3 linked regions of the Astyanax mexicanus genome follow. The protein of the gene in region 3 interacts with the protein of the main gene of each other region in a pairwise test. Links are inferred from orthologs where the notes say so. Each region holds a gene or a part of one and is shown on either strand. Other genes may lie near its edges.

Region 1 (11,201 bases), on a different chromosome or scaffold from region 3:
AGCACTATGCTAGTGACACTGCAGTGCTAAGTATGAATGACCCACTCGCCAAATAATAGCTACTCTGTGGTGGTCCTGTGGGCTCCTGACCATTGAATAACATAGTATGCATTTGTTAGCTGTCAAAACCTTTTTTTTTTATATAAAAAATTTTGGACACAATGAACGGACTCAATTTAAGGCAACATATACAGATCTCCCTGTGCTCAAAGCTCAGGATGATGTAATATCATCTCACTGTGCTGCATTGCAATGCTTAACCATAAGATTTAAGCAGAGGAAAATAGACTGAAAACACACAATGACAACCTCCACCTCAGAGCGTCACGCATAAGCAATTTTGTTCTCCTCACATTAATAGTCATCTGTGCGGTGCGGGTCAGAAACATGACCCGATAAGAGAGGTTTACGTTTCTCCAGCCAAGAGTCTCTGCTCCCCGGTGTCCCGTGAAGGATTTCGCCTGTGATTTATCCCTGCTGTTACTCCTACGCTGCCGTCCCAGGGTGCAACTTAAGCACCATTAGTCCTTCAATAAGCGAGCCAAAGATATCCAGGACCAAATCCAATGAAATCACAAAGATAAATGAAGGACGCAGCACTATTCTTCTCTAAAAGTAACCATTTATAGCTATTCTTATCTGTGCAGTCTGTTGAGGCCTGCTCAGTGTGAACACATGGAACAGGGAAACTTTTTCTTTTGGATTTTTGGGTTTGGGTAAACAGTGTTTTGGCTTGTCTTGTATTTGTTGCAAAGACATGGAAGCACATGTGGACACAGTTGGCTGAGGTCTGTGGGTTCAGACAGAATGTTAGTATGGTCAGCCACTGTCTCTGCTGGACTCAGGCTTGTGGTAGAGAACTGTAGCAAAGCTAAAAGCTAACAAAGAATTAACAGCAGAAACCTAAAGTCTAAGTGGACATAAACTATGAAACACATTTGTATGACAGGCCATTTGTTCATATTAAGCATCCAGAAAATTAAATTAAAAAGATGATATAATAAAACGCAGCTTAAAAATTCTATTTAATTCACTGATCAGAAGGTCTATGTGGGTAAAGCCAGTTAGTTTCACCCACTAGCTTGATTTTAAACATACAAGTCTTAGTAAGATCATTTCCAATTAGTTTTGTAGTTATTAAGCATTGTATTGTTTTTTTGTTTTGTTTTGTTGGGCACACTTTCTACATTTACCTCAACATTACCCCAACATTAAGTTCCATTAGCAGCTTATATAAAATCTTCATTTTAGCTGGGAAACAACTTTTATTAAGCGAGATAAAAACCTGTCATGTTCAGAGAGAGAACAGCTGCAGCTCACTAATCCAGTAATTGATTGAACTGAGCTGCATGAAGTGGAGTTATAAAATAACTGCTTTGTTGGGTTGAGGAACAGGCATGAAGCCCCCAGTCTGAAGTCCTATAAATGTAATTTTTTCCTTGTTTACATGTTTACAGTAAATATTTCAAAGTAACCAATAGCACCCCGTCACCATCCAGTAATGCTAAAGCCTCTCTAATTCCTAGCTTTAGTTACTATAGCTAAAGTTCTCTAAAGTATTACAACTAATAGGGAAATAAGGCAAAGCAGTGCAACCTAATTCCTTACTGCTGAGTTCTACCTAGCATTGAGCCACTAGCTGCATTCTGGTTTTCTGAGGTCAGTAACTAAAGACTGGAGTGACGTATAACCATAAACCATGTATAATACCAAACCCCAGAACCTAACAATCTAACCAGCACAGTGCCATCCATCTGTTATCAAACACCAGCCATTAATTCAGCTTGGGAACAGCTGGCATCACCGGTTAGCTGATAGGCTAATCTGCTGTTTCTGCTTTCAAAATAAGAGCCCCAGGGCAGAAAATATAAATGAAAAGATATGTACTAAAATTAATTACTATTGACTTAAAATAATATTTGTTTGTTACTAAGAAAAAAATTGATCAAAATATAATGAAATGTCTAAATTCTGTTAATATTTAATAATACCATCTCATTTTCAAACATTTTAATCAGGGCTGATATATTTTATAATTACACAAACATATTTCAGCTGTGCTAGAGTGTAGTTACTCTAGAGTGTGGTTGAGTAGTCTAAAATCACCTGAAAATTTTCTCAGGCATGTGTGAGCATCTACAATAATTGTTGTGTCACGTTTAAGTATCTATAGAAATTGATCTAGGACTGTGAGAAAGATACAGTATTTACCTCATCTGTCTATCTATCTTGACTGAATTTCATTAAGTCTATGCCAGTTATTCTTTTACTCACTTCATTCTCAGTTAACATTTAATTGAACTCTCCGTTTTAAAAATATTTAATGATGAATGTGTATGAATGAATTAATTACAGAGCATGCAATTAATTGGGTTAATCTTTTTTTAAGCGGCTGAAAGCACGATTAGCCACCATGAAATCTGCAATGTGACAAAAAAAAAACTACAAATAAACAAAAACCAACAAATAAAACTGATCTTGCAAGATACTACAGGGTGCCTTCAAAGGTTGTGTGGAATCCATGCCTCAAATGATAAGATCTGTTTTGGTGGCACAATTGAGACCTACCTTATATTAGGTTGGTGGCACTAATTCTCTTTACGTTTCATTGGTAAATTATGTTGTTTTGTATACGATTTTAGTGTGGATTCTATAGCAACTCTTAGTCTGTGCTGCCTGTGTGAGTTAGTTGGGAGCCAGCCAACACTGCGACACAAGGGGCCCCCAATTGTTGCACAATGATGTAGCACAATGACTCAGGCCTGCTGCCCTGATGTGGACCAGAAATTACAGCAGTGGGTAGTTCTAAATTACAACAAAAGTTGTAGTACTAAAGCAGATCAGTTTTTTAAATAAGTGTTTTGTATATTTCTTGTGAGTGTGTGTCAAAAACAACAGCACAGTTTAGACAAGCAATGTGTGAGTGTGTTTGGCCACGTAAAATGCAGTTGGTAATGATGTGTGAGTTTTGGACCGGCTGTGACATCACCCGGAGAAATAATCATACACAAAGGCAACAAGTTACAACTGAAAAATATGCCCCACTCATCTCACACACTCACAAACCCATTATTCAACAGCTGGAGGCCCCTGGAGTAGCGACAGCACCATAATGCAGTACACAGAGTCCGCCTCAGATTGGGGTTAGTAAAATAAAGGAGAACAGAATTGGGCTTCAGTCTCTCTTTGCTGTTGAATAATAGTGGGTCTGAGCAGGCCAGTGGAAAATGTGTGTAACTGTAATGTGTTTGTTAACCTCAGTTAACTGTGCTTGGTGGAGTATTTCCCAGATCAATAGAAGTGCAAAGAGACAGCAAGAGCAGGAAAAAATTTAGAGAGCGTAAGAAAGAGACAGAGGGAGCCTTTCTGTATTTGGGAGTGAATGAGAATATTTCTCCATTCTTAGGAAATGAGATCACACACAAAAACATTCCCGTAATTATTTCAAATTTCTCTGCCAGTGAAGTCACCAGAACTACTCAAGCTACACAAGCTTTAGCCCTGCAGAGAATATCTTAGCTCAGTTTGCTTGGTTGCTAGGTGTAAATGCTCTATAATGGCTGAAGTTAACTATGGTATATCATGCATGAAATGTGCATGTCCACTGTGAGCTTACACTGCCCTGTCATTCAGAACCGAGCTAAGCAGAGCCAAATCAGAACCAGATGTTCCAGCTCCGTAAAACGCACACACACGTTATTAAATTTCATGAATCTAATATTCACTCCAGTATTACTACAGTATTTCTTGATTCTTTTCTCTTGTTTTTACACAAATCACTCTTCTGGAAATCTTCTTCACAGAGAGTCAGAATTGCAGGCTGTTTAGATATGTGACTTGGTGAGTCCAAATTTGCCTATATAGATTTCGAAAGCCCACATTCTCCACTTCACACTTTATGAGTGCCTACCTGCAGAAATCTGACCAATCAGGAGCAGTAAGAGGCTGATGCAGGTGGAGCACTGGGCCATGACTCAGAGCTGATACAAAATCCAGCTACAGGGAAAGAAGAGGGTTGTTTGGTTGTTTGTTTGACAGACAAAATACAGCACAAATACAGCAGACTATACAGTAAATACACAAAAACACAACTGAACACAGCTATGTGTATAGAGTTATGCAAAAGCTTGGAAACACTGGTCAGATTAGTTTTTTTTTTTTGAATATCTTACAAATACACTGACATTAATGGGATAGCCGTTTGCAAACACTGTATAAATTGTGAGATGTTACCTTGTGAGTGACTCTGAACACTGTCCAGTGTACTTATGAATTATCAGAGTTTGAGCAAAACCTTATAGTAGGTATTTCTTAATGTCACATGCTTACTGGTAGTATGTCTTATGGCATAGGGAATCATGATAAATGATTGTGACTGGCAGTGTCTGGCTAGAACTGCCCGTACATAAACATAAACATACAAGTGAAAAAAGAGACAAAATCATGGGATCCAACACATATAATTTACCTTAGATGCCCAGATTTTAATATAACTGTATGTGTATTAGTGTTCAGGCATACAGTGTGTCTATACACTAATCCAGAGCCAGATTAAAAATCGGAGCTCTGTAAACTTCTGAGGTTCTTCAACACACAGTCAGAACAGGAAAGTAATTCATGCACACATGAAGGAAAAGTAGAGGAAGTGAGATGAGTTTACCTTAAAACTTGTGGTGGGCTTCTAGCTGTTCGTGACTCTCTTTCCCTCCTCAGTCACTGCTTTTCTGTCTCTCTCTTTTTCACTCTGCGTTTTGCCTCTTTTCCTAATGAAAACACTCAGCGCAGGACAAGAGTGGTCTCTTTTTGGAGGAGGGCAAAGCGAGAGAGTGACAGAGAGTGAGAAAAAAAGAGAGAGAGAGATGGGTGGGGGGGCTGGGTGTGTGTGAAGTTGAGCAGTGGGCCTGTGGGGTGGGACTATTTTTTTTTCTCCAGCAGAATTGAAACAGAGCTGAAGCCAAGCCAGCAAACCTCAGGAAGTATGCACATGCAAGTAGTGCATGCATGCGTGTGTGTAAGCATATGTTTGCTTGGAGCAAGTAGTAATCTAATAAATTGAACATAGCCATGCGATCAGTACTAGTGCTGCACAATTTTGAACACTGGAGTATGTTTGTTGTTTGCATTGTAATATTAAAAAATACAAGATTGTTTGACAGATTTATCCATAAGTCAAAGATCCAACATGTCAGTATGTTGTGGCGTGGCGTGGCGTGGCGTGGTGTCTGTATTCCCTGCTCTCATTGACCACAGTAGTCATCCGCTGAGGCTCATAGAGCAAGCGCACTTCTTGTGTAAAATGGTTAACTGGGTCTTTTTGGAGTTAGTTCGTGTTGATCAGTCATATGAGTTGTGTTCTCAGTGGACCTGTGTGCCACAGGACAGTAGGTGGTTACTGTAGACGAAGCACAGAGTGGTAAATGAGACAAAATAAATACACACAAAACCCCAAATATGGGCATAAACAACATGAAAGTCACTGTAAAGGGATTTTATCCCAATTAATTTTGGAGCATTTCTATTGGCCCGTTCAGCATTAAATTTTAAGTTTCTAACATTCAGTAGAAACAACGATGCAATCTTTTGTCTATTTTGTAAGATAAGATTCTGATTTTGAATACAAAAAATACATTTTACATAAAATGTATCACTATATTTATGCACTAAATATTCTGCATATAAACAGCAACCAAACAATTATGCAAAAAATACACTTACACCTTACAAAGTAGACTGCTTTAAGACAGAGTAGCATAATTATCACAATGTATGTTTTTTTTTTATTGTTACAAAAATCGACCATATTATTGTGTGAGATAGGATATGGCACACCGCTTACATTCTGTCCAAAAGTGCAAAACAGCAAAAATGGGGATTCATGGTTTTGTGTGTCATTTTAATAACGTTTTCTTTTTTCTTCTGTTTATTTCAGCTAATGAACACACTGAGAGAAAAAGGAAGAGAGAGTGAGCACCTGCAAGAGAGAGAGTTTGCAGTGTAAACATGTCCATCTATATTAGGCCGACAGTACTTGGCATGGTCTACTGGTCAAGCACTGTCTGCTCCCATAATCCTGAAAGGCAGAAAGGATAAGCAGAGGAAGGAAAGGGTCACTAAAAAGGTACAGAACAGTGTGCATGCCTCGTGGAACTTAAATGTTTGTAATGTTTAGCCTAAAAATTCATATTATGCCATTATTTGTGTTGCCGGGTCAGTAAAAGACGACAGTGGTTTTGATGGCACAATTTGTAACACACAGCAGTTGATACAGGGACAATCCATGCATGCCTATTCAGCAAGCAAAAAAATAGCCTTAGAGTCATAAAATTGTGGATGAGCTGCTTCCCTACCTGAGCCTGTTTAATCTGAGTGTACACACACACACAATCATGTGGACACTTGCTGTGTGCTCATCTCCTTGTCCTCATACACACCTCACACCTGCAGTGTGTGGTTGCAAAAGGGACACAGATAAAGAGGAAGAGGAGGATGGGGAACCCCACCAGCAGCCTGTGCGGGAAATGGAATTGTAGTAAGGCCAGAGAGCTTTCGAACCCGCCAGCAAATGAAAAGTTTTCCAGAGCAGATAAAACAGCTGAAAGAATGGAGATTCAGAGCAGTTGGCTATTTGAGACTGAAATTGTTTATTGTTTATATCATCACCTAAAACTCAACCCCAGCAAGACTGACCTTCTGTTCATCCCAGGAACTACAAGCCCTCACAACAATCTCTCCATCTCCTTCGAGAACTCACTGGTCACTCCATCGGCAGAAGCAAGAAGCCTCGGTGTAGTAATGGATGACCAGTTATCGTTCTCGAGCCATATTGCAAATCTGACTCGGTCATGCAGATTTCTCCTGTACAACATCCGAAGAATTCGACCGTTTCTGTCTCAGGATGCCACTCAGGTGCTTGTGCAGTCTCTTGTCATCTCAAGACTTGACTACTGCAACTCTCTACTGGCTGGTCTTCCACTGCGAGCCACCAAACCACTACAGTTAATTCAGAACGCGGCAGCACGACTCGTCTTCAATCTTCCGAAGTTCAGTCATGTGACTCCTTTGCTGCGTTCCCTCCACTGGCTTCCTGTTGCCGCCCGCATCCGATTCAAAACCCTGACGCTGGCCTACAAGGCAAAAAACGGACCAGCACCTTCATACCTGATGGCGATGGTCAAAGCCAGATCTGCACCAAGAGCTCTTAGAGCTTCCAGTACGGCTCGGCTCGAACCTCCATCACTCAAAACACACAGAAAACAGACATCCAGACTCTTCTCTGTGCTGGCACCAAGGTGGTGGAATGAACTTCCACTGGATGTCAGAACAGCAGAGTCACTCACGGTCTTCAAACGTCGACTGAAGACACATCTTTTCAAAGAGTTCCTAAACTAAATTAAAATAAAATAAAAAAAAAAAAAAATTAAAAAAAATTAAAAAAAAAAGGTTCCTAGAGTTCTTAACATGACTAAGCTCTATGTATCTCTTGATCCTAGTCTACAAACTAGCTTTGGATATCTTAAGTAACTTTGAAGCACTGTTGTAAGTCGCTCTGGATAAGGGTGTCTGCTAAATACCGTAAATGTAAATGTAAATGTAAATGTTTAAACCTACAGTTTTTTATGTGGAAAAAACTCACCCTCAGGGTCACACCTCAGCTCAGTTCTTTGGCCAGTGACGTGTCTTGACTGCTCAGAAGGGCTTAAGCTGGCTGTCCACTCTTACTGTCCTGTGTGATCCCAAGAACCATAATGCTTGCCTTATTTCTGTGCTGTTAGGAACATACTTAAGCTGTGGGTGTTGCAAATAAACACTGTTGACTGAACTTTATCCATTCTCCTCAACTCTCCCTGGACTTCACAATCAGATTATCATACCCAGCTAACAGCCACCGGTGTGTTGGCATATGTGGCTTGGGCCAGTTGCTGTATTATACTCTGTAAACAGAGGTGTTAGTACAGGCAACACTCTGCCAGTTTCTGAGCCTAGCACTTGAGGCCAGAATCGGGCCTAGATTTAAACCATTGCTGGGCTGATGCAACTCAGACTCGGCGTGTGGTACTCAGCCCAGAAATAGCCTAAGTAACTGAAACAACCAGTTTGCATTTCTTTGAATAGAAATCCATTCATCTTCACATCCACTTTTCCATTGTCGTGGTTGCATGACCAGAGCTGGGTTATTGTATGCAAGGTAGGAATACACACTGGACAGGACACCAGTATTCTTTTCCCTGAAATATACTAAAGATCACTCACACACTCCCACCTAGGGGGCAATTTATCATGGCCAGTTCACCTACCACGTGTTTGTTTTGGAGGTGGGACAAAATCAGAGTACCCAGAGAAAACCTGTGCAGACACGGGAGAACACCAATCAGACAGTGATCAGAGCAAGAATGGAACCCACAGCTTCCTGCCTCTGGAGCTTTGCTATCTTAACTGATTAACATATCATTGATTTTACAAAAAGTTTTTAGTAAAAAAAAAAGCTAAAAACAATAACACTACAAACTATATAAACAAACACCATCCAGTAATTTCAAATCACTCTGGACTTTGAGTAATTGGTGTGGTCAGAGAGCTCGGAGTAGAGGTGACTCCTCACATCTGATCCTGGTTGAAGAGGATTTGGCCTGGCCTGATGGTCAGCCACACAGGTCCTGGGGTACAGTGGCCTCTCCCCGTGATCGCCCAGTCTGCCTCCCAGACCCAAGGCCCGGGCTGATTGTTTCTTAGATAAGCACTAAGTCTCCATCTATCCCGTTAGAGCGTCTGATTAGCCCACGTCACAGGGCAGTTTAAACCAGGTATGGGACAGGAATAGAGTTCAGGGCTTGGCCAGGAGGGGTGGGGAGGCTGGGAAAGAGGCTGGCATTTGTCTGGGGTAATCCCTCCTTAAATAGCCTCACAAGGCAAGCCAGGGTTCTGCAGTACGTCTGTGTGAAGTAGAGGTGGAGGAGAACAGGACTCTAGTTCTTTCTCTTGTGCAGGCTGAACACATTCCTATTTACAGGAGAGGGAACTCTTTACTAAAGGAGATCCTGGAACTTGCCTAGAGCACCAACCCAAGATCCAGGATGAACTTTGCGGCCCAGTTTTTCTACGCAAACTACACGGGGGAGGGAACGCCACCTCGAAGGAGATACAGTGACAACGAGGAGTACGATCCCTTCTGGCAAAGGTGGGAGGAGTCTGAATCTCAAATCCCTAAAGAATCTCTTAATGTGAAAAATACCAAGTGTCTTCTTGAGTCAACAAGTGTCAGCTCAGATAATGTAATGGCTTTGGAACATTCCTCTGAACCTAGCACCTCCTCTAAAGACTGTGTAGTTGCTCAAACCCCTTTTCCTGCTGCTTGTCCTACCCTGGCTCATTCCAACCATTCAGCTGTGTCTTCCCCAAAGCTTCCTAGGACTCAAACTTCTAGGAAGGTTGCTCCCTCCACAGTAGCCTCTGCCTCCCAAATATCTTCAAAAGATCCTCCATCATTACCATCTACCAATGCAGTAGAGAGGTTATCCATCAAAAAGCTTCAACCTACAAACTGTAACTCTCAAACCAGTTCAGACAAAGCTGAACGATCTAATGCTGGGACCCTAAAGAAGATATCTTCTGAGGCATCTTTTGTTTCAAAGTCTAAAGCTTCTTCTGACCCTCCTCCTGCATCTGCACCTCCTCCACCTCAAGGTTCTCCAGCTCTCCCTATTGTACCTTCATCCTCGCACCTCCTTAATGCTCCCAGGAGGAGGACACTCCTGCCTGAATTCCACACAGTAATATGCTTCCTCCTCCGTTTGTTCCTCTCCTTCATCCTCCTCTTCCTGCCACGGTAAATAGAGTTATCACAGAAGGGTAAGATGGTAGTTGAAAGTAAATCATACAAAGAAAAACAAGTTTAAGAAAATAACAATGAGTAAATATTAAAAGTATAGCACTGGCGGAGCATTGGGTATGACTGTCAGGCTAGTTGGAATGGGGTAAGAGGTCACCTCTGAGAACAAATCTAGGCTGGTATATTATTAGAGCTTAGAAAGGCTGGGCAACAGAGCCAAACTGAGATCTTGAGTGGATTAGGAATTGTGAAGGATTCGTTTTTTTTGTGAGCACATGACCAAAGCATATAACCCATATTTGGTTATAGCACTTACTGCACACTTTATTTACACAATACACAGTACAATCTTAAATGTTAAATTACCAATGTTTAGGACTCAGTGTTGATCTAACACTGGCAAGTTTAATGTGTACCATTCAGTAGTCCTGCAGTATTAATCTTGTATATATTCATATTATGCACCGTCAGTCTAATTCAACCAGTCAAACTGAGTCAAGTAAACATTGAACCCAATTACCCCAGTAACTTTTTTCTTCAGCTGTTTTTCATTACAAAGCTACACAGGTATTTGATAAAGAGGCTCCAGAGTGGGGTATCTGCTATTTTACACAAGGATAAGGCAAAGCAAAGACGACATAATCTACATAGCACATGCTTAGCTTACCCTCAGTCATTGGCTTTGGTGATTCAGCCAAGGCATCTGGCAGGCATCAGTGATGGGATTCTCTCTTCTTCTCATTGTCACCATAGATCACTTTCTTCAGGCTTACATCTCTTGGCAGACTTTTCACAGATTAATCTAATCTCATTTAAGGAGAGGTTCTAAGAAAAAGCTAAATTATTTTTATATTTCTTGCACATTTGCTAATTTCTCTACAGAGAAGTGTATGTACAGTGTATGTAAGCATGCAAAGAAAATACATTTATGGAAAGGAAAGCAAAAGAATAATATATCTTTTTGTGTATTTTTTTTCTACAACAGTGAAGAGCAACGTTTAAGCAGCACCAAAAAGAAACACTCAACTCCTGATGGGCAATACCATAAAGACGGCCCCATCGCCAATGGAGCTGTTGGCCGTCGACCTACCCTCATTTGTCCAGAGCGTCTCAGAGACTTTGGTGCTGAGGAGTATCTGAATGGGGATGTGAAGACATTTGAGACCAGGGTTGTAGGAGGACCTGAGGTCCAACTAATGGCTCCACCCAAACCTTCTGTCAAGAGGAGCAAGGAGTACAAGCCATCAGCCAGACCTCCTGTGGAGTACCTCCGGTTTGAGGACATCAGTACAGCGACATTAAAAATACAGCAAGCAGGAATTCAGAAGACTCCCTGCACAGTATGTTCATCTAAACCGTTATTCTGGGATCTGGC
Region 2 (10,561 bases), on a different chromosome or scaffold from region 3:
CCCAAATTTCAAATAAAAATATTGCCATTTAGAGCATTTATTTGCAAAATGAGAAATGGCTGAAATAACAAAAAGATGCAGAGCTTTCAGACCTCAAATAATGCAAAAAAAAACAAAACAAAAAAAAAAAACGTTTGTATACATAAAGTTTTAAAAGTTCAGAAATCAATAATTGGTGGAATAACCTTGATTTTTAATCACAGTTTTCATGCAACTTGGCATGTTCTCCACCAGTTTTACCCACTGCTTTTGGATACTTTTATGCCACTTCTGGTGCAAAAATTCAAGCAGTTCATCTTAGTTTGATGATTGTGATCATCTGTCTTCTTCGTGATTATATTCCAGAGGTTTTCAATTTGGTAAGAGCTGTATGTTTATGCTATTGATGTCAATCAATTTAAAGTATATATATTTGGATTTTAATAATTAATCAAGATTAATTGCAATTGTTATTCTTCATAATAATAAATACTTGATGTAAATGAAATGATAAATGTAAGATTGGCTAAATAGAATTAGATTTATATTAGTATGGTAAATTGGTTAAAAACTGAATTGTATTAATCACAACAATATTTTGTAAATAACCATTATTAATATTATTTATGTAAAATATTTTGGGATTTATTTTTGAGAGTGAACCGAAAAAATTGTGTGTGTGTGTGTGTTTGTGTGTGCAATAAGAGAAAGAGGGAGTTATGATATTTAATCCATATTTCAGCGTAAATAAAAAGTAATCTATCCTCTGAACTCGACAGTAAGCTGTTATATGGTCAAATAAAACCTCTAATACATCACCAGGCTTTGTAAATTTGGTCATGTGATTAATGCGTAACTTAACAATAAATCTGTTAAAGTTTCCAGATTAATTGTGTGCGTTAATGCATTAACATTGACAGCATTTAATAGTTAATACCTGATCACAGCATACCTGTATGTCTTGCACTGTTTTGTCGAACTTGTCTGTGAGCTGCTCTGTAGCATTCCACAGTTCTGTTGTTTCTTGCTGGGCTTGTTTCTTCATAGATTCTGAGTCCATCTTTTCCAGCATCAACCTGGACCTCTCTGTATCTGCAGCTTCCACAAATTTCTGATAGGAGCACAAGCGTATTAAACAAATACCTGACCAAATCAGATCCATGAGTAAATATTGTTCAGCTTACAGAATACAGGCCAAGTGTTGTTAGCTTCCATTACCTTCCATTTCTCCAGCTCTTCCCTAGCGTCAGCAATCTGCTGCAACTGCTATATGATAGAAACATCAAAAACACTGTGTTAAAAAGATATAATTAAAATTAAAAACATCCTTAAAAATCCACAGTCAATTCCAACTTAATATATAATGTTGATATAACACATAGATGCACCTTAAGCTGATACATGTATACTTATTAACCTCTTACAACCAAATGCTGCTTACTTTTGTCTTTGATTCAGAAATTATTCAGATAATATATACAAAACCACAGGTGCCTCATTTTCAGTGAAAATAGAAAAGTATTATAAATAAGACTTTAAATCATGAGAAAATTATTTAAATATACAGAAAAGTTTTTTTTTATTTCACAAGGATTAATAAATAGTCATTTTTATATAAAGTAAATCGACAAAAGAATGTTAATATTTAGGTAAACAATTATTTCCAAAAAGAATGTCAAAAATGATAAGAAAACAAGTTCAATTTATTATTTCTATAAAATAAGACAAACTTGATATAACTTGATGTTATTAGTTCTACAAAATAGATAAAAAATATTGTTAAAACCACTATAGCCATTATCTATTATTCTGAAAAAAGAAGGAGAACAACTAAAAGTCAGTCAAAACTCATGAAGTTTAAAAATCTCCATATTTCTCAGATTGTCAATCAACATCTTGACCACTGACCAACAGAAGTGTTCCAAAATTGCACACTGACTTTTACTGAACTGGACCCAGGTTTCCAGAAGTATCTTAGCATTAAGTAAATCCTATAAACATGGAGTCTTCAGTGTAATGCTCGCTCATCCATCTAAGACTTAGGTATTTGCTCAGCAGCTTTTGTAAAACCAGGAGACTGAAGTTAGCTTCTTATTCGGATTTTGAAGTCCACCTTAAAAAGTAGAAATAACAATGTTGTGCCAGTAGAGAGCGGGATTGGGCCAAGCAAGACAACTTTGGCATCTAATGCTAAAGTTCAGAGGGTCATAATAATAATAAAAAATATTGTTCAATAATATTCATTGTCCTTTAGGATATTTACAGTGTAATAGTTATATTATTATAATTTGGTGTTACCTTTATCAGATTATTTAGTCATTTGGAATTAGGGCAACTGGAAATCCGCAGAACAGGCCATTTATTCTCTGAATGTATTGAAAAAAATTAAAAGACCACTTCAGCCTCAGTTTCGCAATTTATAGGTATATGTTTTGATTAAAATGTACATTGTTGTTTTATTCTATTAACTACGGACAACATTTCTTCCAAATTCCAAATAAAAATATTGTCATTTAGAGCATTTATTTGCAAAAAAAAAAAATAGAAATGGCTGAAATAACAAAAAAGATTCAGAGCTTTAGACCTCAAATAATGCAAAGAAAACAAGTTCATTTTTATAATTAATCACTTCAGAAATCAGTATTTGGTGGAATAACCCTGGTTTTTAATCACAGTTTTAATGCAGCTTGGCATGTTCTCCTCAACCAGTCTTACACACTGCTTTTGGATAACTTTGTGCCACTTCTGGTGCAAAATATTAAGTAGTTCAGCTTGGTTTGATGGTTTGATTATATTCCAGAGGCTTTCAATTTGCTAAAATCAATCAATCAATTTTTCTAGAGCTGTATATTTCTTAAATGCCAAATTTGTCTTGGCCCAATCCCGCTCTCTACTGGCGCATTATTGGTATTTCGACTTTTTAAGGTGGACCGGAAAATCTAAATAATATACTGGGAAAACCCACACCTGAGAGTTAAGAATTTGACCCTTTTTTGATGTGAAACGAGCTATACGTTCTAAAGACGTTATGGAGCGCGAGAGTATCAAAAATCGCATTGAGCGCATAATAAAAAATGCTACACGTTTTAAGAAACTGGATACAGTATTTCACGTAGCTACTCTCACGTAGCTCACTCGGTCTTCTCTCGCCGACATTTCTAACCGGGGGGTGTCCTGTCGAGTTGTGCTTCCCATCGATATATGCTTCTTTTCTCCAGTGCGCCTGCGCGGACTCACATTTTTTGTAATGTTTCCACGGTTTTTTATGATTTATGATTTTTCTTTTAACGTCAACTCACTGTTATTCTTTGTTTAAGTGATAGACAAGTATAAATAGCAAAAATGAATAAAAAATACCAATAATAAGCTATACAAAAATCTTATTATTAAAAATCTTATGATTAATCTTATGATTAAAATCTTATGATTAAAAATCTAATCAGGTCTCATTGCCGTAACTTTTTTTTTTTTTCATACAGTGAGTTAGATAAAGCTTATGGAAGCATACCTTTGGAAGCATATTTCTTAAACAGTGCCTATTTGTGTATTTTTACGTTTAAATATACACTAAGGTAGCACGATTTGACAGGGTAGCACAACTCGACAGAACACAGGCTATAAAGACGTTACAAAGCGCGACAGTATCTAATCGTATCTAAAATCGCATTGAGCGTATGATAAAAATAAATCAATTGCTACACGTTTTAATAAACTGGTATATGATTAACGACTATTGCTCGTAGCTTTTCTTTTTTTTTTTTTTTTTTTAAATGGGGCGAATCCCGAGACGAGCAAAACACGCTTACCTCGCCGTTCACTTGCTCCCCTGTATCCGTCATCTCTAACAGATTTCTGCCGAGGTCTGGTCTCCCCTTTAAAATCACAAGAAACGCAAATAAATGCGCGAATAACGAGTAAAAATGGGATTTATCTGGCGTAGCTCCCCGCTGTTTGTGGTTGTGTTCGGGTTGTGTCTCTCTTCCTGGAAAAGCAGGCGAGTGTCCTGAAGTAAAAGTGAAAGTAAAGTAAAGTAAAGTACAGTACAGTACAGTTCGGACGGGCTTCAGCGAGCTCCTCCGACAGCTGTCTGAAATGGACAGTTCAGGAGACTGTCTTCAACTTTACTTTAGTTATTTTTAAAGTTCTTACTGAGATTTCTGTGAGTTTATCTGAGATTCTAAACGTCGAGATGGAGACCGCCAAAAGAAAACAGAGTCAGGATGAGAAAACACTGGAGCTGGAGGGTCTTCCAGATGATTTTCACCGTGTGAAGTCCAAACTAGAACTGTACTTCAAGAACAAGAGACGGTCTGGAGGAGAGATCCTGGAGATCCAGGAGCATCCAGAAGATCAGAGGAAAGCTCGACTTATCTACATGGATGAAGGAGGTACGTTCATAAAGCCAAAACTACTATTTTCTCTCAGAGAAGAGTAAATGGGACTAAACTAATTTTGGAGTCGTTGGAGGTGTACCCTCTTTTCTTGACTAGGGTAATACTCCAAATTATTTAGAAATATTTTGATTTGATTTGACATACCTACTAAGAAAAAAATGTACTTGTTGCTGGGGCAGTACCTTATATTGAGGTACAACAGAGTATCTTTAACTGAAAGACTTTTTTGTAAACATGTTTTTGTAACGTTACCAGTAAAGATTATAAAAATTATAAACATTATCATCAATTGAACATGTGTCAAGGACTTGATGATAAAAATGTATAATTAAAATATATATTATTTATTGGTACAGTGATTCAGAATACAGAATGTACTTTTAAGCTGGTTAACTGGTAAAAATCTCTACTTCCTGCTGTTAGAAAAGACTTTGTACTTCAGACGGAACACATCTGATCCTGTAAAGACCAATATTATACCTTTGAGGGTACAATTATGAAATGTGTAACTTTTTTATCTAGTTTTTTTAGTGTGTAATCAAAACTTGTCAGTGTTAAATCAACAATGCGACTGCTAGATTGAACCCTTTCAGACCCTGCATCAGTTACAATGGACATCATGTAGTTTCTCTTTCCAAATGTATTTTTTTTTTTTTAGAACAGAACAGAACATTAATTGAGACCTGTTCACCTGTCCATCAGAAAAGATCATAAACCAGCCAGTGAAACAGTAGCTTAGCCCCACCCACTGCACTGAAAAAAATAAAAAACAGCAACTTGGACATTAGGGCATGTCAGCACTATAGAACCAATGAGGCAAAGTAGTACAAGAGACTTAGAACACTTTGTATCATGTTTAAAAATCTGGGTTAGTTGGATTTATTTTATATGGATTTTATATTAGGATACTAGTGTCGATAATAGTTTTTTGTGTGCTTTACAGACACAAAACAGTCTTCCTATATTTTTCCATCCCGAGAACATAATTCAGGTCTAAAAGGGTTAAATGAACATTGTTAGACAATAGTTTAACACTAAGGGCAGTATTCCAGACTGTGAAATTTAGTCTATTCGTATATTATGTTTTCCTTTCAATGGAAAATCTTCAGTGAAATAGTGTGTAGTCAGAGACTAGGCTTAATCCCTGTCTGGAGAACTGACCCCCCTTAAAGTGTTGATTTACCACTGCCAAATTTGCTGTGTATCTTAAAGGAGAAATACAGTTTGAAATGGACTTGAGGTGTAGTGAAACATGATAATGAGTATAAACTTTTGTCAAATAGCCCAGCACTGTTTTTCTCCAGCATTCCAAAATACAGCAAAGAAATTGCTATTTTTACAACAATAACTAGCTCAAAGTGGCTCCACACTGAAGGCCCCGATTTTAAAATGAGGCACGGAGAACTTCGAAAGTGAGCAGGTAGTTTATTAAAAACACTGTTTATACACACAGTACCTTCAGGTAGTTATTCATTTAAATGCATGACTATTATAGATCTGTTTTTTTTAGCAACAGCTCAATTTCATGCATTTACACAGAATTAATTCTGCAATATGTTCCCCTATTCTAACCTTTCATTCATAAAATGATTTAAAAATTGTTAGTTTAAAATTATTTTCAACATGGTGGCACCCAGAGACTTTTCTTGTGTAATTTGTACATACCAGTCAGCCATAATATTATTACCAGCTGCCTAATACTGAGTAGGTTCCCCTTGATCTACAACAACAGATCTGACCATTTAAGGCAAAAACCATTTAAACTCCAAAAAAAAAAAACTAAAAGAGGAGGCCTGTGGTATCTGGCACTAAGACTAACATTAGCAGCAGATCCTTTATGTTCTTTAAGTTGTAATGTATGAGGCGTTACTTGTTCAGTCATCACTGCATACCAGGAACACCCCACGTGACCTGCCTAATATTTTGATGTCCTGACTCAGTTGCTTACACTATCATATGTTAGTCTTATCACAATAGCTATTAATACTAATAATCTTTTAACAACCATTTTTATGCCAATATTTTAGGTATTGTATAATTGTATAACAATACAATTACATCATTTTAAAGAAGATGGAACTTTTAACAGCTAAGAATATTGGAATTGGAATATTGGATATCTCTTAAATTTCATTGGGATAGGAATGTAATTTAAGAAATATCATAAATAAATAAAATGTAAAAAAGCCAAATATCAGCTCATTCATATTAATGGGCTTTCCTGCTCACAAAAACATTACAGATAATATTGAGGTCAACTAAAATTATTATTATTATTATTATTTAGGGCTGCAAATAATGATTATTTTGGTAGACAAATATGATGATTTTTTTAAGTTAGTCAGTTAGTCAACAATTAGGAGTCAATTGCTTTAAAATAAAAAACACGCTAAACATTCAATATAAATGTCCTTTAATGTGGAAAATACTGATATTTAGTGAGTAAATATGGAATCTGTTGTGTTTGGGCACTTTTGGAGATAAATGGTAAGTGTAAAATGTATGACTGCATTTCAGCGTTTAATGCACATGTCCATATACAGCTCTGGAAAAAATAAGTGACCACTTAAAATTCAGATTTTTCTTTGATTTTACCAAATTGAAAACCTCTGCAATATAATCAAGAGGAAGATGGATGATCACAAGCCATCAATCCAAGCTGAACTGCTTGAATTTTTGCACCAGGAGCGGCATAAAGTTATCCAAAAGCAGTGTGTAAGACTGGTGGAGGAGCACATGCCAAGATGCATAAAAACTGTGATTACACCAAATATTGATTTCTGAACTTTATGAATATAAACCCTAATTTCTTTGCATTATTTGAGGTCTGAAAACTCTGCATGTTTTTTTTTTTATTTCAGCCATTTCTCATTTTCTGCAAATAAATGCTCTAAATGACAATAATTATATTTGGAATTTGGGAGAAATGTTTTTTACTTCAACTGTCAGTGGTACTAATGTTATGGTGGATCAGTGTTAGTTAATAATTTTATTGTGTCGTATTTATAAATTGTAAGTCTGAACCGTGTCAAATAATGCATTATCATTGTCTAATCCTCAGAATTAAATAAAGTACTGGAGAAGAGAGTTCACCAAGTGGCTTTTAAAGGACGGGGACTTGTTGACGTGACGGTGAAACGTCTGGAGGACGAGAGCTCAGCCTTAAAAAAAATGAAACCTCCTATTTTACCCAAACCCAAACTGGAAAAACTTGAACTCAGCAAATCAGCACAAGCCGCTGACGTCCAGGTGACTTCTCTGTTTTTATCTTTGTTGCAAAACACTGTTACACCTGCCGGAGGAGCTCGTTTTTCTAGGGGAAGTCCAACCTGACGTTTCATTAATCAAATAAACTTTATTTTCCTGATTTATTAGAAACGACAAGACAATGGGGAATCTGAAAATGAAAGCATTTAAGCAATGCTGATCATGACGTTAATAAGGAAGTATAAAACCATGACTCAGATTAAATATATGATAAGCCTTCCATTCAGATCAGACCTTCATAAACAACACAGCAATAGATTTATGTGTTTGAATGTTTCACATTCTTGTTTTTGCATTTTAGAAAGAACAAGAAAAGCCAAAAAACAATGTCTATTATTTTTATAGTTAAACCTGTAACACAATTAAGAACAAAATGTGTGTTTTTTCACACAACATATCAGTAACTAAAGGCTAGGGATGAGTTGATATGTTTTTTTTTGTCCAAAACAGTAATTCAACAATATCAAACAATTGACCAATAAAGGGGATGTTTTTTTTTACAGTTTTAAATAATGTTTCAATAATTCACCATTGAATGAATAAAAGATGCCTAAATATACTTTTAGTTGTATTGTAAAGAAAAAAACTATTATAAAACAAAACATTTTAACGTTTTGTTTTATATATCTCAGCATACTTATCTATTCTGTTCACAAATGTACCCTAGCAGTGCTATTTTTATTATGAATTTACTTCATTAGTGCTATTCTGATTATGAATCTACCTCAGCATTACTATTGTTATTATGAATTTACTTCATTAGTGCTATTTTGACTATGAATTTACCTCAGCAGTGCTATTTTTATTATGAATTTATCTAATTAGTGCTATTCTGATTATGAATTTCCCTCAGTAGTTATATTCTTATTATGAGTTTATCTTATTTGTGCTATTCTGATCATAAATTCACCTCAGTAGAGGTATTCTTGTTATGAATTTACTTTATTTGTGCTATTCTGATCATGAATTCACCTCAGTAGAGGTATTCTTGTTATGAATTGACTTTGTTTGTGCTATTCTGATCATGAGTTTACCTCAGCAGTTCTATTCTTATTATGAATTTATGCCATTTGTGCTTTTCTGATCATAAATTTACCGCATAAATGCTATTCTCATATTCCATTTTGAATTTATCTCAGCAGTGCTACTCTAGGCTAGGGCTAAGGTAAGCCCGCTAGAGGAAATCTCTGTAGATTTTCAGATTTAAAATTTTTCTTTGACTGAAACTGCTGATAAGGTTGAAGTGAGCTGTATGCTTTCTTAAAAAACATATATACAAGTTTTATTGTGCTACATGTTTTTTTTTTTGTTTGTTTTTTGGCCAAATAATTTTTATATTCATTGCATCCGTAGTATTTTTCTGGCAAAAACACATTTATTGCTAAGAAACCCTGAAGCAGCTTTAAACAAATATAATGAAACCCTAGATGTTTAGCACAGTACTGTATAGAGTATATTCCTGATCAATTTGTTTAATCTCTTTGTCTTTTACATGGATTTGCTGTAAAGGAGTCTGTCTCTGAAATTCCTGAAGGTATTATTATGCTTATTATGCTCAGCGTACTCTCAATGTATTACTGTTGTATTTGTAATGCAAATAAATGTATACTTTATATACTTAATATAATATTTTATATACAATTTATTCAGTTTAGAATTTGTTTAAAAATATATTATTTAGACTACAAATGTTATACTGTTCATGTTTGGTTTATATGCAGTTTTACCGTTTAGACTGGTATAAATCTGTACATTTTATAGTGATTTATATTATATACTTATAGTATGCTGTACTCTAAACCCTATGTTCTGTTTTTTTTACCTTTTTTTATTCTGTTTCATACAAAAATAAATTCTGCAATGTATAAAGTTATTATATTCAGTTTTCATTTACTGTTTTAAGTTATCTTATTTTCTGTGCCTTAATGAATAGAAATGAAATAAAGAAAATGTATATATAAATACAGAACATTTTAGACTCTTAATGTAAAAAAAGTTTCAGAATAAAAATAAAAATATGATATATGGTCATTTGTTGTATGAGCTCAATTATAAAATATAAATAATATTTAAAAAATAAATGCCCACTTATGATGATGCACATTTATAATTTCACAGTAGCACATTTGCTATACACTTACTGTATTATTTGTCTCAAATATAAAAATGCCCTTAAGCTGAATTTGAGTTATACAGGTTTTTTTTCTATTCCAGAAGCGGAAGAAAGCTCCAGTAAGCAGGACTTGCTGGTCAGCACCACTGACATGAATGATAAAGATACTCTGGAAATATATTTTGAGCAGTTCACAGAAAAAGCAGACCTCACAAAACATGGGAAAAACAGCTGGATCCTAAAAGTAGCCTCCCAGTCAGGTAAATATTATGTAACATATAGTGTATTGATTTTTTAAAAAATATTATTAGTATATATGAAAAGATTGGTGTCAGACAGTGTTGTAATTTGTCGTTAGATCCCACGGTTCTGATTGGATAAAAAGAAAACTTTTATTTCATTCAGTTTTTTAAATATAATGTTTTTTATCCTATGACAGTTTTCCTAAAATTTGATTTAAACTATCGCAGCCACTGTATTGTGATACATACCATGATAAGTTCTTGCAAATGCACAGCCCTAATAATACATGGTGTTATTAAAGTTAGTTCATGCCTGAAATGAAAAGCTACTGATATCTTAATTTGCACTCCATTATTTGTCATGGTGTATATATTAATCTTATGTAATAATTTAAAATAATGTGATGTAATAATGGTCTTATATGGTCTTTCAGATGTAGAGAGGATTCTGGTGCAGAAGGAGCATGATTTCGGCCTTTCTGTGGAGGTGTATAAAGAACAAAGTATCTCGGAGTTCTGCGATCCTCGGCGCTTCATCTTAACAGGGTGCAGTGGCAAATACAAAT
Region 3 (11,182 bases):
TTACAAATATGGAGTAAAGTAGGAGTAAGATTAAATTAAACACGCAGTACCATTCTGGACACGCCTTAAATTCAGTGTATGTTGCACTAGTAGTTTATTCAGTTTGCACTGCAAAATTTAAATTATTATATAACTGTAGTGTATTTACACTTTCTGTATGTCTGACATCAGTTATCCTCAACTGGTGTTCATTGTTGTTTTACTGCGTTCAACTGCACTACCTCCATTCTCCAAGACTATGTAATATAATAGAAGTAATATTCGTGCTGCAGACAGCCTAAACTCTTTTAAATCTTTACTTAAAACTCATCTTTTTAGGAAAGCTTACTGCTGTTAATATATTTTTACCTGCATACTTTATTTTATTTTTTATTTTATTGTCTGTTTTTTTTTAATTGTCTCTTTTTTTATGTATAAATACTTGCACTGTACCGTGTAAGTGCTTGCATGCTTGTTTTTATTCACTATGCCTTTTGTCTATGGCCGTGTTGTTAAGCGCTTTGAGTTTTCAGGAAAGGCGCTATATAAATAAAATATTATTTTTATTATTATAAGACTGTACTTTTATACTTTATATTTTATTTTATTGTATTTTTATATGTATCGTTATGTCCTATCCTTCTTTTGTAACTTTTGTGTACTGTGCATGCCTGCTGCTGGATGTCTAGAATCTATCTATCTATCTATCTATCTATCTATCTATCTATCTATCTATCTATCTATCTATCTATCTATCTATCTATCTATCTATCTATCTATCTATCTATCTATCTATCTATCTATCTATCTATCTATCTATGTATCTATCTATCTATCTATCTATCAGTCTGGGCTAATGATAAGAAAAAGAGCTGAATGCGTTCCGGATGTTAAAAGGTGTTTATAATCTTACTATAGCATGTTCTCTACATTACAGTATACATCTAAACATTTACCAAATATTTACCACTGAGAGTCTCTGTGTGCGGTAGGAGAGAAAACCGGTAGAATCTGAGTTTTGGTGAACTATCGCTTTAATATTTTCTGTTGGGGGAACCGGGTCTGCAGAACCTCAAACAGTGAGGAAGTGAGAACCAATCAGAAGCAGAGGGATAATCTGAACCAGTCCCTCTCACTCTCTCTCTCTCTCTCTCTCTCTCTATCTCTATCTCTAACCTGAGCGAGTGAATAAACCAGACGCAGACGAGGAGATGAAACACTGCAATAAACTCTCAGCTTCTTTTAATCCCACTGAGAGCCTGCGGGGGGCGTAATACTGCCCCCCCAACACACACTTAACACTTCATCATACAGCAGCACACCTGCGCTAATACTCTAAATACTCTAAATACTCAAATTATAGGGTTAATCATTCCAATAATCACCAGAAACACACTTACTTTAACTCTTTATCTTTATCTCAGGAAATATTGGACAGACAATAGATTATAGAATAACAGTAAACACAACGTGGCAAATTATTATTATAATTATTATAATCATACTTCAAAGGTATTAAAACAATGAGGTCAGTCCTTTTATTTCCAGGTATTTACATTTAGACCTTCTGTCTGAACCTACACATGTTTTGTTTTAGCAAAACTATTAGAACAGATAAACTTAATGGGTTAAATAATGGATAAAAGTGATTAAAACCTAATCCCAAGCCTGTTAGCTATTGACATATTCATTTATTGACCTAAACTTTTGCATTCTTCTTTTTTTATGATGCTTTTCCAGGTTTTCACTGCAGCTTCAGTTCAGGTTGAGTTTTATATGCTGATACTCAAAATAACGTGGTTGATAATTGCTGATAAACATAATTACTTTCAATAATAATGAAAATAATACTCGTTAGCAGAAAATATAAAGCTAATTCTGAACAAAAATAAGTTTTATTTATGAATCATCAATTAGTAATTGAGTTCTACTCTACTTAAGTACAACTTCTGCACCCATGTATATAGATACAGCTCTGTAAAAAAAAAATAAGAGACCACTTAAAAATGATGTTTCTCTGATTTTACCAAATTAAAAACCTCTGGAATATAATCAAGAGGAAGATGGATGATCACAAACCATCAAACCACCAAACTGAACTGCTTGAATTTTTGCACCAGGAGTAAAGCAGCATAAAGTTATCCAAAAGCAGTGTGTAAGACTGGTGGAGGAGAACATGATGACAAGATGCATGAAAAAGCTGTGATTAAAAAACAGGATTATTCCACCAAATATTGATTATTTCTAAACTCTTAAAACTTTATGAATATGAACTTGTTTTCTTTGCATTATTTGAGGTCTGAAAGCTCTGCATCTTTTTAGTTATTTCAGACATTTCTCATTTTCTGTAAATAAATGCTCTAAATGAGAATATTTTTATTTGTAATTTGGGAGAAATGTTGTCTGTAGTTTATAGAATAAAACAACAATGTTCATTTTACTCAAACATAAACCTATAAATAGCAAAATCAGAGAAACTGATTCAGAAACTGAAGTGCTCTTTTATATACTGGGTTAAATTACTCAGATAATATTCATAATGGTGAGTTGTAGTTATTAATATTGATTATAATAGCAGTTCCTTTTTCCTGTATCTAAAACACCAGAGCTATTTCCAGCATTAATGCTGGCGTTTACTACACAGTGGGCGTGTACTTTACTCCAGAGAGAGGTGATCAGATTCATAAAAGAGCTATAAATCAGTGTCTCACATCTAACAGTGATGTATTTAGTGCTGTATGTGCTGTCAGGTCGAGTTTTCTCTCAGTGTGAGGTAAAGCAGAGCGTCCACATACAGCCACAATACAGATTATATAAAGTTTATATACAGTTTATATACAGTTTTATAAAATGGTACAAACAGTGTGAGTACTCATGATTCTGATCCGATAAAGTGGGTCTGCGGTGCAAACAGAACATATATCAGAGAATGTTAGAGGAACACTCTGGACCTTAAACAGAACCTCAAGCAGAACCTCAAACAGAACCCTAAATAGACCATCAAACAGAACCTCAAACAGAAACTGAAACAGAACCTCACATAAGACCTCAAACAGAAACTGAAACAGAACCTTAAATAGAACCTCAAACAGAACCCTAAATAGAACATCAAACAGAACCTCAAACAGAAACTGAAACAGAACCTTAAATAGAACCTCAAACAGAAACTGAAACAGAACCTTAAATAGAACCTCAAACAGAAACTGAAACAGAACCTCACATAAGACCTCAAACAGAACCTTAAATAGAACCTCAAACAGAACCACAAACAATCTCAAACAGAACCTCAAACAGAAACTGAAACAGAACCTTAAATAGAACCTCAAACAGAACCTCAAACAGAAACTGAAACAGAACCTCAAACAGAACCTTAAATAGAACCTCAAACAGAATCTGAAACAGAACCTCACATAAGACCTCAAACAGAACCTCACATAAGACCTCAAACGGAACCTTTAAGCAGAACCTCAAACAGAAACTGAAACAGGACCTTAAACAGATTCTTAGACTGGACCTCAAAAATAATCCACCAGAACCATGAAAAAGGCCTCAAACAGAACCTCAAACACATCTTCAAACAGAACTCAGAAAACCTCAAATAGAACCTCAAACTGGAAATCAAGCAGAACCACAAACACAACCTTACATCAAACCTCAAACAGAACCTCAAACAAACATTTACACTGGGCCTTAAACTGAACTCAAACCAGACCTCAAACGTGGCATTTAACAGGACCTCAAAACCTTATACTGGACCTTAACAGAATCCCAAGCCTCAGAACCTCAAATATAATCCATCAGAACCATGAACGGGGCCACAGGACCACAATCAGAACCTCAAAAAGAACCTCATAAAGTCTGATAAAGTAGTTCTGGTGTAAAAACTAGAACATACCTCACTCTACATCACACTGGATCTCAAACAGAACCACAAACAGAACCATAAACAACCTCAAATCAAACCTCAAACCGAACCCAATCAGACCTCAAACAAAACATCAAACTAACTCTCAAACAGAACCACAAACTGGACACCATGCAGAAACTCAAAAAGAGGATTACACTGGGCTTTAAGCAGAATCTCAAACCTCAGAACCTCAAATATAATCCACCAGAACCATGAACAGGGCTGCGTTTAGAACCTAAGACAGAACCTCATAATCTGATAAAGTAGTTCTGGTGTGTGAACCAGAACATACCTCACTGCTTCACACTGGACCTCAAACAGAACCTCAACAAACAGAATCTTGAACAGGACCTGATACAAAGACTTTAAACAGAACCTCAAAAAAGACCTTAAACTGAACTCAAACTAGACCACAAACTGAACCTAGTCAGGGCCTCAAACACCAGCCTAAACAGAACCTCAAACTGGACCTAATAAGAGCCTCAAAAAGAATCTGAAACTGAAACATTGCCTTAAACAGGACCTTAGACAAAACTGAACCACAAAAAACAGAACTTAAATTGAACCTCAAACACAACTTCAAACAGAACATTGAGCAGAACCACAAACACAACCTTAAATCAAACTGCAAAAGAACCTCAAATTAACTCTCAAACAGAACCCCAAACTGGACCTTAAACTGAATCTCATACAGAATCTCATTCAGGGCCTTAAAAAATCCCTCAAAATTAACCTAAGACTGGACCTTAACAGAATCTCAAACTTCAGAACCTTAAATATAATCCATCAGAACCTCAAACAGAACCTCATAAAGTCTGATAAAGTAGTTCTGATGTGTGAATCAGAACATAACTCACTCTGCACCACACTGGACCTCAAACTGAACCACAAACAGAACCACAAACAGAACCACAAACAGAACCTCACACATCTCAGTAAGTGAGTAAATGAGCTCCAGCCCGTACAGCAGAGCTCCCACCCAGAAGTTCTGAGCTGTAAAATGATCTTACCTGTGTCTGCTGGCCGCCCGGGGCGCCGTGCCAACCTGTGTGTGTGCCAGCCCATTGCGCTGGTTGTGCCACGCACTCCTGGCACTGCCACACAGCCCCAGCAGCACCAGAACCAGAACCAGCAGCAGGTCCATCCCTCACTTCAGACACAGAACACAGACTGGAGTTCCTCTGGAGCTGCTCAAGTGTTCCTCTCTGAGCTCCTCATGCCAGCTTTCATCACACACACACCTCCCCGGGCACACACACACACCTCCCCGGGCACACACACACTCCTGCAGGGCGGGTACGACCCTCTACAGCCCGGCTGCCATTCCCCCGGGCTCTCTCAGGGCTCTGGAAGATCAGCTACATCCAGTCCGGGCGCTCAGATCCAGGGCTCTGCTGAGTTTGGGAGGTCCCTCTGAGCTCCAGAGCAGCCTGTGTGCAGGCTCCACCCACTCCCCCGCCTCCTACACTAGCCCCTCCCACATTTACTCCCCGCCCTCTACTCCCAAAATGAGTAATCTCAGAGAAAACCCTCACACACACTCTTACACACACACACACACACACTTTTGGATCAGTACCACAGCTCACTCCCGGGCCTGTTTTCAGTAAAAGTGAATCAGGCCACGTGTCTCTAAACCGGTAAACTCCAAAAATCTGCTTAAAATCTGCTTAAAACAGCTTTTAAAACAGTGAAAAACAGCTAATTCTGTTGAACATCAATAAAAAAACAAGAATCAGTCAGCATTATGCAATTAAAATTAAAATTAATCTGAAATTTTCTATAAATATATATATATACATATATATATATATGTATATATATATATAACACTCAAAATATTGTCAAAATAAAAAAAGGTTAACTTTCATTTCATTGCAGACAGTATGAACCCAACGTATTTCATGTTTCAACATTATTATATTATTAAAAATATTATTATCTGTAAGCAAACTGTTGATTTGATTTAGGGCGTGTCAGTGTGTCTTTGCTATCGTAACGACGGGAAAAGTAAGTACACCTTGCACAGCTCTAAATGCAAAGCAAAGTCATGTAATAATTCTCTTAATTAATCATGGGTGTGTTTAATTAATTTTGGGCGTAATATGAAATAAATAAACCAATTAGAGTGTCATCTGTTTGCTCATCATTCTCTTTAAGAGTAGATCAGGTGAGCTCTGTCTTTGGTGGATTGCTATTGTAACGGTGCAGCTACCTGGACGTGTTCAACAAACTCTTCTCAGCAGAGGAAACTGAGCTGCTGGTTGACGCTGTGAAGGAGCTCCAGCAGCTCATTTACGGGAACAGCAATGTTATTTTATTTACTATTCTGTTTATTGTTGATGTAAAAGTTGGGTTTGTGCTGCTGTGTGTTCATGTGTGTGTAATAAGTGGGGGTGTACGCTCGGCTCGGCACGGCGCCTGTGTTACCGAGATAGCGATGATCGTCTGACTGTTGGCGTCTGTCTAGGTTGTATTCAGTCAGTGGAGCTCCTGTGTTTTCTGTTACCAAGATAAACAAGATAAAACTCCAGAAATGTACCTGAACACACCTCATTTCCAGAACACCACGCCCATCAGTGTAGATATATTCAGAAGCTCTGCTGCTGTTTAAACCAGGCAGGAGGAAGGATAGGGCTTAATAAATATGAAATATCTTGATTTAATGCTGTCTGAAATCAAATAAAAGCCTTGTACTTTATTGTAACACTGTAGCAGCTTTTCTTTCAGGTGTATCTGTAAACTGTAAAAGCTGCTTTGTTGATAGCGGAATCCTCTGTGATGCTAAATAAAAACAGTTGTATATATAGATGCTGCAGCTACAGGAGGATTTTCCTGGTATCTGAGGAAGCCGTTATGAATTCCTCGGCTGAAATAGCCTGCAGTGGTGGGTGGGGTGTTGGGGGTGGTATACGGGGTATTTCAGTAATGTGGCTCACCACAGGTGACCACAGGCACAGTGTCCTATATCACCTGTCCTCAGGTGACCCCTGTGACCTCGGGACATCCTACTTTAACACTAAAACAACACCCCCACCACCACCATCTCCACCCCCCCTCGGCTCAGTCATGCAGTTTATAACCTGCTGACTGATATCAATATGAATTCTGTGTAGATTTATAGATTATAGATTATTGATTTTCATACACTTAATATTTAATAATCAATAACACACAGAACATAATATGTAACATGCATAAGACATCAGTGTTCACTGTAACCCTGTTTTATAATTGAATGAATGCTAATGAATAACTGTACAGGTCTAGCGCCTCTGCTGGCTGGTTGCAGTATGATGTGTATGTAGCTCCGCCCATCCCCGCATGTTTCAATAACACAACCCAAAGCCACACCCATTTTCCATCTCATTTCTTTAAAAAAACTCTACTTTAAAAACTGTAATTTTCCATCTGGAGTGTCCAACAATTCCCCCAGAATCATCAGTTTATAACCCTTACTGTAAAATAGCATAAAAAGGAGGCGGTGAATTTATACACACAAATGTACAAATCCAGAAATTGTCTTTTTAAGTCAGATTTGTAAAAATTACTCTTTAGATCAGGTTGTACTCTGATGCTGTGGGGTGATTTTCATACAAGAAACCTGTCAAACATCACGCAGCTGAAAGAATTCTGCATGGAGGAGTAGGAAAACCTTTCTCCCAGTTGATTTTAGGTAAAGGCGAAAATATATGGTCAGTAAGAATCATCTTAATTTAGCCTTAGATTTCTAAGAGCAAATGCACCTATGGGTAAATTAGATTTATAATATCACTCAGAGATAAAATTAATACAATTAAAACAAACAAAAAACAAAACAGCAATAAGCTCAACACCAAATTTAAGTTTACAAACTAAACAGTACGCTGCTGTATTATCTGACAAACAAATATTTATATATACATGTTCAAACACAAAATAATGCATCCTATCTAACCCCAAGTCTATAGTTTTCCCCATGCATACAGTAGCATCTACGCTAGATAAAAACAAGTATTGGGCGTATCTGAGAACATCTTTAGTCCTTTAGAGCATTAAATAATGCAATTGGTTCATTCTGCTGTTAAATCAGTAAACTAACTTGCATATCAAATTTGGAAGATGTTTTAAGAGAAATTAAGGTCTTTCTTTCTTTTAAATAAAGAAAAGATTTTTTAAGACTTTTTAAGGGTCTGCAGATGCCCAGATAGCTCTAATCTGCGTGTAAGCAAATGTTTAGCACATTAACTTTTTTTTAAGTAGTTTACTGAGCGCCTAATATATCAATTTGATCGTTTGTTTGTTTGGAAAACAGTGGGTTTTTAATGTTTACTGAACTGGACTGAAGGCAGATCTGGCCGGTGTTGGCTGAGCTGGACTGATCTGATCTCGCTGTGTGGTGGTAAAACAGCGCCGCTATTAAAAGGAAGCACGTGTTGCTTTAATGAGCGAAATTCTGCTGCCTGGACCCTTTTATTTTCCCCCAAATTATGCAGGAGCTCAATCAGAAACAAATGCACCCTCTCTCAGAGACACAGCAAACAGTGCAGCAGAGGAATACTGAATAAATACTACAAATCATTCTAATGATAATATATCTTATTCTAGCGTATAAAAGCGTTTATTAAGGGTGTTTATAGACAATTATCTCCTTTTATATTGTATATACAGTGTTGTGCAAAAGTATTTGCGCCTTCCTACAGATTTCTTGTGGTGTTTTTGCTTTTTTATCATAATTTTTTTTCCGATTAACAAACACATTTTAATTACAGACAAATATAACCTGAGTTAATATAATTTAAATGAGAAATGCAGTTCTTTAAATGTTGTTCTGGCTTCTTTTGGGATCTCCTGGATGAGTTCTTCATGCCCTTTTGGAGTAATTTTGTTCGGTCGGCCGGTCACTCCTGGGAAGGTTCACCAGTGTTCACCATGTTTTCTCCATTAGTGAATAATAGTGAATCACTGTGGTTATCTGCTTTTATTGTTCTTTGATTTTATTGTTGTCAGACAGCTTCTATTTAAGTGATTTCTTGATTCTACAGGTCTGGAATCAGTAATGAGGCCTGGTTGTGGTTAGTAGTGAAATTGAAATCAGCTTCACAAAAAACTTGTGATTAATAGCAGTTAATTTATGGGGGGCAAAACACTTTTTCACACAGGGCTAAATTGGTTTGGATAGGTTTTTTTTTCACTTAATAAATGAAATGATAATTTAAATAGTGCTTTATATATTTACTTAGGTTATATTTGTATGATATAAAAGTTGTTTTGTTTTCTAGTGTATAGGAGTGTTTATCGAGGGTGTTTATAGGCTAATATCTCCTATTCTAGTGTATAGAAGTGATTATTGAGGGTGTTTATAGACTAATATCTCCTATTCTAGTGTATAGAAGTGATTATTGAGGGTGTTTATAGACTAATATCTCCTATTCTAGTGTATAGAAGTGATTATTGAGGGTGTTTATAGACTAATATCTCCTATTCTAGTGTATAGAAGTGATTATTGAGGGTGTTTATAGACTAATATCTCCTATTCTAGTGTATAGAAGTGATTATTGAGGGTGTTTATAGACTAATATCTCCTATTCTAGTGTATAGAAGTGATTATTGAGAGTGTCTATAAACTAATATCTCCTATTCTAGTGTATAGGAGTGATTACTGAGGGTGTCTATAAACTAATATCTCCTATTCTAGTGTATAGGAGTGTTTATTGAGGGTGTTTATAGACTAATATCTCCTATTCTAGTGTATAGGAGTGATTACTGAGGGTGTCTATAAACTAATATCTCCTATTCTAGTGTATAGGAGTGATTACTGAGGGTGTCTATAAACTAATATCTCCTATTCTAGTGTATAGGAGTGTTTATTGAGGGTGTTTATAGACTAATATCTCCTATTCTAGTGTATAGAAGTGATTATTGAGGGTGTTTATAGACTAATATCTCCTATTCTAGTGTATAGAAGTGATTATTGAGGGTGTTTATAGACTAATATCTCCTATTCTAGTGTATAGAAGTGATTATTGAGAGTGTCTATAAACTAATATCTCCTATTCTAGTGTATAGGAGTGATTACTGAGGGTGTCTATAAACTAATATCTCCTATTCTAGTGTATAGGAGTGTTTATTGAGGGTGTTTATAGACTAATATCTCCTATTCTAGTGTATAGGAGTGATTACTGAGGGTGTCTATAGACTAATATATCCTATTCTAGTGTATAGAAGTGATTCTTGAGGGTGTCTATAGACTAATACCTCCTATTCTAGTGTATAGGAGTGTTTATTGAGGGTGTTTATAGACTAATATCTCCTATTCTAGTATATAGAAGTGATTCTTGAGGGTGTCTATAGACTAATACCTCCTATTCTAGTGTATAGGAGTGTTTATTGAGGGTGTTTATAGACTAATATCTGCTATTCTAGTGTATAGGAGTGTTTATTGAGGGTGTTTATAGACTAATATCTCCTATTCTAGTATATAGAAGTGATTCTTGAGGGTGTCTATAGACTAATACCTCCTATTCTAGTGTATAGAAGTGTTTATTGAGGGTGTTTATAGACTAATATCTCCTATTCTAGTGTATAGGAGTGATTACTGAGGGTGTCTATAAACTAATATCTCCTATTCTAGTGTATAGGAGTGATTACTGAGGGTGTCTATAGACTAATACCTCCTATTCTAGTGTATAGGAGTGTTTATTGAGGGTGTTTATAGACTAATATCTGCTATTCTAGTGTATAGGAGTGTTTATTGAGAGTGTTTATAGACTAATATCTCCTATTCTAGTGTATAGGAGTGTTTATTGAGGGTGTTTATAGACTAATATCTCCTATTCTAGTATATAGAAGTGATTATTGAGGGTGTCTATAGACTAATACCTCCTATTCTAGTGTATAGGAGTGTTTATTGAGGGTGTTTATAAACTAATATCTCCTATTCTAGTGTATAATGTTTAGTGTATATACACTATTCTAGTGTATCAGAGTGTTTATTGAGGGTGTTTTTGGGGTAAAGTCTGTTAAATATGACCTTTTCTTTGTTTATAAAGTATCAGTTTGCATGTGTTATTGATATAAATGAGTGTTGAGTAAGAAATCTTAAGTTTCCTTTGTCCTGGGGAAGGCCAGAACACGCTGCTCAGATATTCATTCAATCTGAAATGTAAATCATAACCGTTCTGCGTCATTCTGAACCACTTTAGCAAAAAAACATCCTGCAGCAGATCCAGCTGTGCATTGCATACACCCTCACATACACAGCTGTGTTTACTGACTGACTGAGTGTGTGTGTGTGTGTGTGTGTGTGTGTGTTAC

What was found.
Region 1: the proteins of emilin1b (region 3) and uncharacterized protein LOC103045848 interact in binary tests that used the Homo sapiens proteins (3 or more experiments, as listed by UniProt). The two-hybrid records come from large-scale screens. The link is inferred for Astyanax mexicanus from reciprocal best matches to the Homo sapiens genes EMILIN1 and PLAC9.
Region 2: the proteins of emilin1b (region 3) and nmi interact in binary tests that used the Homo sapiens proteins (3 or more experiments, as listed by UniProt). The two-hybrid records come from large-scale screens. The link is inferred for Astyanax mexicanus from reciprocal best matches to the Homo sapiens genes EMILIN1 and NMI.

What each region holds. Positions count from the first base shown.
Region 1 is NC_064414.1:39,448,132-39,459,332, reverse strand, and holds the start of uncharacterized protein LOC103045848, read right to left. Parts: upstream 4,830-11,201; 5' UTR 4,661-4,829; intron 3,997-4,660; 5' UTR 3,972-3,996; coding exon 3,911-3,971; intron 1-3,910. Other genes in the region: L-threonine ammonia-lyase, read left to right, coding at 9,072-9,175, 10,812-11,166.
Region 2 is NC_064418.1:15,939,361-15,949,921, forward strand, and holds the start of nmi (N-myc-interactor), read right to left. Parts: upstream 4,440-10,561; 5' UTR 4,368-4,439; coding exon of another isoform or gene 4,169-4,367; 5' UTR 4,129-4,168; intron 3,983-4,128; 5' UTR 3,819-3,982; coding exon 3,786-3,818; intron 1,246-3,785; coding exon 1,198-1,245; intron 1,091-1,197; coding exon 932-1,090; intron 1-931. Other genes in the region: protein mono-ADP-ribosyltransferase PARP14-like, read left to right, coding at 4,169-4,367, 7,435-7,622, 9,150-9,174, 9,855-10,013, 10,430-10,561. UniProt on the Homo sapiens protein: Acts as a signaling pathway regulator involved in innate immune system response.
Region 3 is NC_064421.1:625,361-636,542, forward strand, and holds the start of emilin1b (EMILIN-1b), read right to left. Parts: upstream 5,284-11,182; 5' UTR 5,031-5,283; coding exon 4,897-5,030; intron 4,891-4,896; exon of another isoform or gene 3,063-4,890; intron 2,955-3,062; exon of another isoform or gene 1-2,954. UniProt on the Homo sapiens protein: Involved in elastic and collagen fibers formation. It is required for EFEMP2 deposition into the extracellular matrix, and collagen network assembly and cross-linking via protein-lysine 6-oxidase/LOX activity.